2 linked regions of the Arabidopsis thaliana genome follow. The protein of the gene in region 1 interacts with the protein of each later gene in a pairwise test. Each region holds a gene or a part of one and is shown on either strand. Other genes may lie near its edges.

What was found. The genes of interacting proteins can lie anywhere in the genome.
Region 2: the proteins of AT5G44080 (region 1) and GBF3 interact in a two-hybrid assay, tested with the Arabidopsis thaliana proteins (one large-scale study listed by BioGRID).

The regions. Positions count from the first base shown.
Region 1 is NC_003076.8:17,736,932-17,742,010, forward strand, and holds AT5G44080 (Basic-leucine zipper (bZIP) transcription factor family protein), read right to left. Parts: upstream 3,019-5,079; 5' UTR 2,804-3,018; coding exon 1,856-2,803; 3' UTR 943-1,855; downstream 1-942. Other genes in the region: CAD1 (phytochelatin synthase 1 (PCS1)), read left to right, coding at 1-38, 128-393, 655-741.
Region 2 is NC_003071.7:18,998,370-19,004,383, reverse strand, and holds GBF3 (G-box binding factor 3), read right to left. Parts: upstream 4,205-6,014; 5' UTR 3,957-4,204; intron 3,571-3,956; 5' UTR 3,526-3,570; coding exon 3,460-3,525; intron 3,373-3,459; coding exon 3,328-3,372; intron 3,246-3,327; coding exon 3,150-3,245; intron 3,057-3,149; coding exon 2,973-3,056; intron 2,886-2,972; coding exon 2,844-2,885; intron 2,760-2,843; coding exon 2,553-2,759; intron 2,465-2,552; coding exon 2,416-2,464; intron 2,330-2,415; coding exon 2,154-2,329; intron 2,063-2,153; coding exon 1,985-2,062; intron 1,874-1,984; coding exon 1,748-1,873; intron 1,663-1,747; coding exon 1,483-1,662; 3' UTR 981-1,482; downstream 1-980. Other genes in the region: TRIP-1 (TGF-beta receptor interacting protein 1), read left to right, coding at 95-184, 278-364, 465-544, 653-728; LRB1 (BTB/POZ/Kelch-associated protein), read right to left, coding at 5,921-6,014. UniProt on the Arabidopsis thaliana protein: Binds to the G-box motif (5'-CCACGTGG-3') of the rbcS-1A gene promoter. G-box and G-box-like motifs are cis-acting elements defined in promoters of certain plant genes which are regulated by such diverse stimuli as light-induction or hormone control.

The DNA.
Region 1 (5,079 bases):
GTTTTGTTGTCGGGAAACTTGCGTGAAATGCATCAAAGGTATGTCGCCATGTCGATTCTTCAAATTTCTTATCATAGTTAAAAGTTTTGGTGTTAGATCAACTGTTAATTTTTTGTTTCCTATTAAGGTCCTGATGACTCTGAAGGCACGGTGGTGACTGGAGTTGTGGTGCGTGATGGGAATGAACAAAAGGTTGATCTGTTAGTGCCATCGACGCAAACTGAGTGTGAATGTGGTCCTGAAGCAACTTATCCAGCAGGAAACGATGTGTTCACTGCACTTCTATTGGCTTTACCTCCACAGACATGGTCAGGGATCAAAGACCAAGCTCTTATGCATGAAATGAAGCAGCTCATTTCCATGGCTTCCCTCCCAACTTTGCTTCAAGAAGAGGTAACGCTTTTACCAATTCTATTTATCGGTAATCATCAAGAGTCACGGTTCTCTCTCTAGTGGAAAATGGGATCTTTGTACTTGAGATATATAAGTCTTTTGGAAAAGAAACAAATAACTTAATCTAAGTTGAGATTGACAATGACTATTTTCGAGTTCATCCTTAGATATAGCTAAATCAAATGCCGAATCTAAATGAGTACTTGGTGAAATGAATCTGTGAAGCAGATGAGTAACGTGGTGAATTTGGTGTAAATGCAGGTATTGCATCTTCGACGGCAACTTCAGCTGCTAAAACGATGCCAAGAGAACAAGGAAGAGGATGATCTCGCTGCTCCTGCCTATTAGTTCATTGTCCCAAATCCTCTCTCTTCCCCATTTGAATCCCACGTTCTCAACACTTAATTGTTAGAAAGTCTCTTTATTCTCTGTACGATTCAAACTCTATTTGCAATGAGAGATATATGTAACTTGCATTCTATAAATTGTTAATCACAATAAGTTAAGAATCCTAGAATCATATTTCATCACACTCAAATGCAGATTATGAATCCACTATCCACAAATAAGTACCAAAGGCTTACATTCAAAACAACAGTATCCCTTAGTCCCAACTGTGTACACTGTTTTGCTAAGGATCATTCGTATTAGACAGTCAAATTTTGAATCCGGATTCTAACAGATCCTATTGCAGACTGGATCTGGTCACTTTTTCACCGATCAGTGGCTATAAATACTGACAGAGATATGGTTTTGATTCTTAGAAAATCTCTTTATTCTATGTATGATTCAGAGAGATTTTCAAATCTCATTCTCCTACTTAAATGTTCATTGTGGCCATCAATATCTTCACTTGACTTGATTATCTAATCTCTGGTCACAGCGAGATGCAGTGACACAAGTGCATGGAACTGTAACTGTTGGAGCACGTCAGAAAGTTCTTAACTTCAGGAGCTCTTATCTTATCTGGAAGCTCATCGAAAGACTTCTATTGTCGAGATAGTTCTGTTAAATGCATTGATGCCTGGGGTTGAGGAAGCTAAAGTGACAGCAGGGATGGTAGTTAATACCAATAATGAACAAGAGGTTGGCCTATTGGTGCCGTCAACCCAATCTGTCACCAAAGGTTCTGAGTATGGTCCAGAAGCAAAGTACATAGCAGGAAACGATGTCATCACTGCACTTCTGTTCGCTTTACCTCCACAGACATGGATAAGGACCAAAATCCAGATCTTTCAGAACAAAATGAAGAATCTCGTTTCCATTGGTACCCTCTTCACTATGATCAGCCTAAATAAGATCAATCTCAGCAAAACCAATAACATATGCAATCTAATATAATATATAAGTTATTAACCATAATCATTACACTCTACTGCAGATTATGAATCAACTCTCACACACACATACACAAAGTAAGTAACATTAAGACCCTAAAATCCTCAAAAGTCTATACCTCTTATCACCATTCCAAAGACCGAATCCTGCGTAAAAACCGTGGTGGCTGCTGCTTCGGTTTCTCAACAACAGGAATCACAAACTCCATCAACTTCTGGTATCTCTCTTTCCTCTTATCTTCAATCTCCTTAGAAAGCAACTCATTCTCTTCCTCAAGCTTCGCAGCCAAAGCTTCTAACTCAACTTGATAAGCTTGTTTCCTCTCTCTAGACCTAGCTGCAGATTCACGATTCTTAATCATCCTTCTCTGTCTCTGTGCAGCTGCTTTATCCAATGGCTCAACCATCACTCTCGCTCTCTTCCCTCTAGCTCCTCCTCCGTAAACATCTAAACCATTCCCAAACGCAACTATTGATCCTTCTACTTTATCAATCATCTGAAACGGATTATGCGGCGGTGCAGAATGATCGAATCCGTAATTCGTCACCGGAATCTTCACATCCAAATCCTCCGCCGACGCCGTCACCGCTGTTTCGTCTTCCACCGCAGCTTTCGCTAGAAAATCCTCTAACGTCATTATCTCTTCCGACGTCTCTTCCTTCATCCCTTTACCTTCTCCTGATACCATCTCTCTCCAAATCTCATCAACACTCTTCCCACCACGCGTCGTCTCCGTTCCTCCGCCGTGATCCACAACATCAGAAGCCGTCGTTGTTGTTATCTCCATTGGTGCTGGAGAAGCATCCATCAGATTTATCGACGCATCTAAGAGTGAAGATTCCGTTGGTGCTGGTGGATCTGATGCGAAAGTATCGTGTAAAATCCCTTCGACCGTCATCGAATTTGAACTGTATAATCCGTCGTTTCTTCCGCCGTAACCGACACTTGTTAGATCTCGCCGGAACTGTTGTTGAGGTCTTATAGACGAAGAAGAAGTAGAAGCAGAAGAGATGCGACGAGATAGATCCGAGTTTCTCGAATTTGAAGAACGCATCACCTGAAACGACGTCATTTCTGGAGAAGATGATGAACAAGTTCCGTTTGTTTCGTCCTCTTTCGCCGGAATCGGATCAGAGAATCACTCTGTTTCTTTGACTCCGCCAAATGTTGAACTTTACAGAAGCAGAGATTAGGGCTTTTTGTGTCGAATTGAGAACCTTTGAGAACTTTTGGTAATTTATCCCAAATTGTAATTAATTGACTTTTATTACTTTTTTAAAATACCACGCGCATATGTGGCACGTGAGTTTTAATTTTTAGACTTACCAAAGAAAAGAGCTGATTTTGGTAAATTGGATAAGGTTAAAATCAAAATGGATAAGATTTTCTAACTTTTGGAGCGCGTGGGAAGTTTTGTCGCGTGTCATCAAACTGTAGTTGTCAAACTTGCATCAATTATTTCAAGATCATTAATGTATTATAACTTGACTATTATTACTTGAATTTAGTTAAGGTAATTTAATGACGTTATTTTAACTCGATGGTAGTTGTTTTTAGAGAATATTACACTGTAAGATATTTTTTAAAAAACATTTTTATGGTTAGACACTTTTTAAAGATAAAGCATTTTGAATAGATGATTTGACTCATTTATCGTCTAATCACATATCGTTTTATCTCTCTCCTTCTCTTATTTATTCTCTCTTTTTCTTTTACTTTATCGAGAAATAAACAAAAATCAAGCCAAAAAATAGATTTCTTCCTTTTTCCTTCTTCCATCTTCAACAAATCATCCGCTTTTATGAGAAAGAGAGATTGAAATTCAGCTTTTTAAATTTTCCACATCTGCTTTGATCTGACTTGAAGGAGAATTTTTTCAAACCATCAATTTGAGAATCTGCCCGATCTGGCTGATTTAGTTACATGACTCGTTGAATAATTGAATTGGATTTGCGGTTTGGTTTTTGTTTTATGTTTTTGTTATTTGTTGCAAAATTAATCTGATTACTTGCTCTTTAATTCTTTGTCTTTCTTCTCCAATTTCATATTCGAGATTATTCTCTTAAATTGGAGATTAAAGCCTCGCAGTGGACTTCGAATTATTTGATAGCAATTGTCGAATCACTAATTGATGGAACTCGTTGCTTAGTCCATGTTCTGTGAATTTGATTCATGATTATATTTGAGTTGTATATATTCAGAAAATCTGGTTATCTTATGTGTTCATCATAAACGGTTTATAAGTTTTTTGATGGTTGATTCACTTATTGAAGAACCTTGTTGCTAGTTCTGGTTCTGTGAAATTGATGGAGATTTTAGCTTAGATCTGAGACTAATTTTCATTCACAGATGTTAGACTGATTTCTACGTTTGTGTTTAAGATATAGATGTTAAAAATTTGGAGCAAAATCGAGAAGATCATCTTAACAGAGTTAAATGAACAGATCTCTGTGGATAACGATTTCTGGACACGTTATTCTTTACTTTTTTATCTCAAAATCCAATCGAGAAGATCACCTTAACAGAGCTAAATGAACAGACCTCTGTGGACAGCGATTTCTGGACACGTTCTTCTTTACCTTTTTATCTCAAAATCCAATCGAGAAAATCATCTTAACAGAGTTAAATGGACATACCTATGTGGACAACGACTTCTGGACACGTTTTTCCCTTGAATTTGTGATCATTTATGTTATATCTTGAGATGTTCTGTATATAAAATCAAACTTGGACTTGTATTTTAAAACCTTAAAATCCAATCGAGAAGATCATCTTAACAGAGTTAAATGAACAAACCTCTGTGGACAGCGATTTCTGGACACGTACTTCTTTACTCTTTTATCTCAGTTTACTTGAACTTATCTCTAAGTTTTTTGCTATCAAATTCTATGGCTTTTGAAAAGGAATGACCCTGTTCTTTTTGTAATCGATACGTCAGCGATCGGCGACTGATTTTTTTTTAACTTACTTGCGTGTAATGTATGTAGAGACTAACAGGGGCGGACGCAAGTGTATGAGTACTGGGGCACGTGCCCCATGCAAGATTTGATAATTTTGAAGTTTGATGTGCAATTTGTATTGGAGATGAAAGAATTCGTTTGTTGTGCCCCATGTTATAGTGATTTTTTTTCTAATCAGTTGGTTATTACTCATTATTTTTACTATTTTCAAGTAATAAATGTTTTCAGTATTTAACTTATTTTTCCAAATTTATCTTTTTCTATAACTCTTTGAAAGAATTATGCTAATACAAGGACACTTCAATTTTTTCTTTTTCCATTTACATGTCTTTTAAAAAATGTTTATATTGTATTTTATTTTTAAAATTTATATGTTAGCTATGTTGTG
Region 2 (6,014 bases), on another chromosome or scaffold:
TTTACTTGTACAGTATATCTTGTTTCAAATTTTTGCACTATACATATAGATATAAATCATCTAATAGAGTGTTCTCTTTTGTTGATTGTTTCAGCTTTGGGACATGAGAACGCTGACTCTTCTTAAGACTTACACCACTGTGGTGCCCGTAAATGCTGTCTCCCTGTCTCCACTTCTCAACCATGTATGCACTAATGCTTCATGAAATTCAATTTCGAATCCCAGAATCAGCAAGGCATGATGTTATCTTTGTGAATGTTTCTGCTCTCTCTTTTAGGTTGTACTTGGAGGTGGTCAAGATGCATCAGCTGTGACTACCACTGATCATCGTGCTGGAAAGTTTGAAGCTAAGTTTTACGACAAGGTTAGTGTTTATAATAAGAGTGTTTTACTTGGAAACATGTAACCTGGAAAATACACATATTTAAATAACCGTGTATCATTGTGTTTGGTATAATATATAGATTCTGCAAGAGGAAATTGGTGGTGTGAAAGGTCATTTTGGACCTATAAATGCTTTGGCATTCAATCCTGATGGGAAGAGGTAAATTAACAACATTTGGATTTTGATTGATTGACACAATCCTCACATGATGAGGTTTTGAGTGTGTGTTTTGGCTCTCTCACTGAGTTTGTGGAATGTATATTTCAGTTTCTCTAGTGGAGGTGAAGACGGTTACGTGAGGCTGCATCATTTTGACTCCGACTACTTCAACATCAAGATTTAGATTCCGACTACTTGAACGTCAACCTTTTAGAATCTTTGAAAAAGTCTCCCATTCCGGATTTTGTTTTCTCTCTCTTTTAACATTTTCATGTTTTTATTTACTACCAATACAAATACCTTGATGATAAAGCTTTTGAATTTTGACAGAATCTTTAGTTTTCATTTCCAGAGTTCTCAGTACAAGTTAATTAACCTGCTCTATGTGTGAGCGAGCATTAATATTCAGCTTTTATAAAATAAACTCGGTTGTAGAAAAGAATGCCTTGTGTGATTGACAGTCCTCAAGAGTAGCGAAGAAAATCACCCAAAGACAGACTCATAATGTTTGTGATATTCGTGATGATTATTGGATCTATAAATTTTCGGAGAGAGATGTATGAAACCTGAAAAGAAAGATCCTTTATGCATGAAACCTTGACAAAAGAAACAAAAGCTTACGCAAAGCAATAACACCGATTTCATAAAATTACATCAGGTCTAAAACAAGGAAATGCAACAAAGGAAGCCATTTTATAAAAAAAGAAAAGCCTCTCTATATTAACAGTAACAAACCATAACACCAAATTTTCATCTGGAGGAAAAGTTTCTCTTTCTCCCTCTCTCTCTCCGAAAATTTATAGATCAATAATCATCACACCTCTCTCTCTCTCTCTCTCTCTACTATACTATCTATCAAGTTTTTCTGAAATTAGTAGCACTTATTTTCTTTGTTTATGTCGACAAATTAAGTAGAAATCGACATGAATTACCATCGATCAGCCTGCAGCTACTGCTTTAGCTCGAGGCTTCGTATCGAGCAGTTGATGCAATTTGCTTGTAGAGTTAGAATCATTGTCTCCTTGGTTCTTGTTCTTATCTCCAGCTCCTGAGTTCTTAACTCTAGACAACATATTTGCGGGGACTCTCTTTTCGGGTTCCGAGCATTTCAGTTTGTCCTGCAACCCAAAAAGAACCGGCCATGTTCAAGAAAATGACACGCCTTCATAAAGATAATTTGTTGGTTAATGATAGCTTACTTACCAACAAGGTTGCATTTGCTCCTCTTAGTTTATCAGATTTCTCATTAAGTTGGTTTAGTTCAGATCTTAATGCCATGTTTTCGGCTGTCAAGGCTTCCACTTTCCTAGCAAGTTCTTCTGTCTCGGCCTTCAAAACAAGGAAAGACAGTTTGTTAGTTTATTAAATGTTTTGGTGAGAGTTACACACTAAGAGAAAGAATTTCTAAAGAGCTTCAGTGTATTCTTTCAGTAACCAAACCTGTTTCCTTAATCTTGACCTTCTAGCAGATTCTCTATTAGACTGTTTCCTTCGCTCCCGTTTCAGTTCTCTCTCGTTCTGAAGACAAAATTTAATACTTGGTCAGGGAAACGGATCAGATTAGCTCGAAAATCCAACAAGTGGAAGTTGAGAATAAGTCACAGGGTACCTGAAGCCAAGTTTCAGGAGGAACCATGGCTAAAGATTGTGACATGAAGGGGTTGGAATTTGCACTTACACCAGGAGAGAGTATAGCTCCAGATCCTTGAATGAGTTTTACGCCGGTATCACCACTTGACGGAGAAACAGAATGAAATGAGCTAGCTTGAACCAATTGTTTCCCATCTGCCAAAAAAACCGAATTAAAACTCCCATTATATCTAATATTTACACTGATTCTAACTCTTTGGGACATGAATAAGGCTATATACCTTTTGTTGGAGTTCCCTCTCGACTTCTTTTAAGTTTCGGTTCATCTGCCTGGAAACATGCAATAAGTGAGGTTCTAGACTTTAGACAATCATATGAAAACTAAAGATAGCTGAGAGTAAGAGAAGAGAAACATTACCCCAGTTGTATTCCCATCACTTCCATCAGTAGAACCATCAGTTTCTGAGCTGTTCCGTGATCGTTTATGTTCATCTGCACCATTTTCAGGATTCCCATTTCCTAGAGACATAGCAAGCCCATCAAACTCTTTCAGCTTCTTCATCAATCCATTGTCTGTGTTCCCTGTAGATTTAGTAGGAGTGTCGATGCTCAAAAGCGTCCCCGGCTGCGATAAAGAAGAACTATCCATTAAACAGCGAACAAAACCATTTCTCAATCTTTGATGTATCAAACTAGGTATACAACTTACAGTTGTTAAAGGTGGATCCTTTTGACCTTGAGGCAGTGATCCCTGTCCACAGAAACTCAAAGCCAAGTCAGATAAACGATCACGGAGGATTCAACTACGAGATGTTTGAGGAACAGAATTACTATATACCATGGGAATACCGGGATGAGCGTAAACTCCTCCTCCATGAGGATAAACAGCAGCATAGGGTGCTCCATATGGTGACATCATATGCTGAAAGGGATTTAAGACCAACAAAACACCAATGAAACGTCTTCCTAATCTTTACCATATTAGCACAAGATGATTCGTGTTTGTGTTTAGTACCTGAGGATTCCACATGTAAGGAGGAGGAGGATGACCAGATGCAGCCATAGCTGAATTGTAATAAGGAGGCATTGCTACTCTTGGACCATAATATGCCTAGCAGCAACACATCATGAAAATCATTATTAATCATGGTATTACTAGTACATAACTGGAGCGTAATAAAAAAAAGACTAACCTGCATAGCTGCCCAATCAGGGTAGACATGAACATTTGTTTGATCCTATCAACAAGAGTCAAGTCAACGCATAAGGAATTTAAGAAAAACTAAATTGACTTTGGAATTATGGTTTGAAACTGTTCAACATACCACCGGGGGTGAAGATGGTTTATCTGATTTGGTAGGAGGCTTTGGTTCCTCGCTGCTATTTCCCATAGGAATGGTTTCAAGGTTTCCCACTCAAGAGAACAATGACTCTTTCTGCAAAATCATGGGGATGGGTGTTGTTGTGTGAGAAATATAGAGACAGAGAAGGGTAAAATAGTATTTCTCTCTCACATCCTATGTTCAGAAAACTTTCAGGAAGACAAAAGGAATCAACAAAGTAGACACTACTGGACAATTCTACCCCTGAAACAATCACATGCACCCAAAAAAAGAAACTCTGTTCTTCTCTACGCTTTAGCTGTTTTTGTTCAAATTCAAAACTTATAATTTTTCATTCAATTCAAGTAAATGCAAAAGCAAACGATCAAAAATGGCAAAATTTTCACAAAACTTAGAAGATCAATGAATGATAGAGAAACCAAATCACAAAACTATTCGACCAAACAATCTCTATTTGAACCATTTAAGTTACGCAATACCTACAAGAATCCGAAAGCTCCTTGAAGAAGAAACGTAAGCAGAAGATGAAGAAGAAGAAGCTTAAACAGAGAGAAACCCAGAAATTTAAATCGCGAATTCGAAACCTAAACAGCAATTAAACGCATTTTCATCTTTCTCTCTCTCTAAAAAAACCAGAGCGAAAAAGAGTTCAGTTTTTTTTTTTGAGGGAAGGGAGACGCGAGAGAGAGAGAAAAAAAACGGAGCGCCAAGACGATGACCACGTCATCAGACACGTGTCATGAGAATATATAACAGCGTAAACTACGGTGGTGTTTGATGAGTTGGCTCATCGAGTTTAGTGCCAGCCATTTCTTATGTCATCTCTACCGTACACGTGTTCGATTTCTAGTCGCTCTACGCTTCCCTCATGTTTAGATTATTTTTATAGTCGATATTTACCATAGTGTATAATCCTCTTCAAAATCCGTCATCACATTCACACGTCAGTGAAGTCATGTGCAACATAAAAATAAGAAAACTAAACAATCTTTCCAACGAATTTTCAGAATCATTATTTTTGTATGGCATGAAAATAAACACAATTTAACTTTTGCTACTTACCGATGGGCATATTTGTTTATTATATAGAATATTGCTTCGAATAATTTGGATACATGATAAAAATTTGATTAGAAAGAAGGGACATTATGGTAAAATACGAAGGAAGAAAAGACCTTTGACTAGTAGTATCTCCGACGCGGAGAGCACTTCTGTCGACAAAACTAAAGATCCGAACCGTCCATTATTCACTACCGATTCGTATCTTCCAAAGGTGCCACGAGACGACCCACGTGTATGGCCACGTTTTTGCCATCATGGAATCACCATAAAAGGAAAAATAAAAAATACTTTTTTAGTTTATTTTCTTTCATTATTATGAAAACAAAACAATAAAGAAAAGGCCCACAAGCCCGACAACTGCTTCGAATCCAACGGCTGGGATAAACAAATGATCCAACGGTATAAACTAAGCCACGCCAGTAGATAGTTATTGGCATTTAGAGGCTAAAGGGCCAACGAGGCTTTTTTTTTTTGCGTTGGCGTAAAAGAGCTTCTATCCACGAAGTGGTCCCTACATTACAAAATGCGACTCACATGGATGTATCTACGTGTCGGTTATCCATTGGGTGATGTAGTAAATATTGTCTGGGCTCTCTATTTTTGTTTATTTTTATTTTGTGTACTGTAGAAAGAAATCAGAGAGCATAATACTAGTACTAGTATTATTCAACTTAGGTTTTCGGTGACGTAAGCAAAGGTACAGACCACATCAGCTTTGAATATAGACCGTTGATCTCGGTTTCTCGATTAGAAAAAAATCGACGGTTAAGCTGCAATAAAAACGTGTGTTTTATATAACTTCGAATCATCTGACGTGGCCATCAATATTTTGTAGTGGAAAAAAAAAGTGGGGTCGATAAGTCAGAAAAGGAGATTAATCATCCAACGGCTCAAACGTGTCCCGACAAAATGACGTGTCCGTCTGGTAAGCGGATAGTCTTACTTACGCATTTATGTGGGCCCCATGTGACGAGGACTCAATTCCTCTATCCTCATTTCCTAAATTATCCTTGTCACTTCATTCTATTTCCTCGATGTACCATTGCTATAGCCGCATTGTTTGAACTTTGAATATAAAAGCCTAATGTTCACACTATAGGCAATTTAGCTTCATCATTACGCATCGTAGTAGGCCTTGAGCCCATATTTTAAGACTAACCTCAAAAGCTAGGCCCAAATTCTATCTTGGACTATTTATAAAGACCCATATAGAAAAGTAAAAAAATCCAATCAAAGAATTTACAGAATGAGGTACTCTTTAAGCCATACTTTTGCTCCTTAGGCAATTATTGTACAAAGGACACTCGTGGTTAGAGCTGCTACATAACGAGATTATACAACTTAAATGTGACGACATAGAGAGAGAGAGAGAAGAAAACAGTCAGTGCAGGTCTGAGGAACGTTTAATGGTGAGCTCGGCTCTGAGATGGAGAATGCCATTGATGAAATGTTGACTGTCCTCGGCTATGAACGAA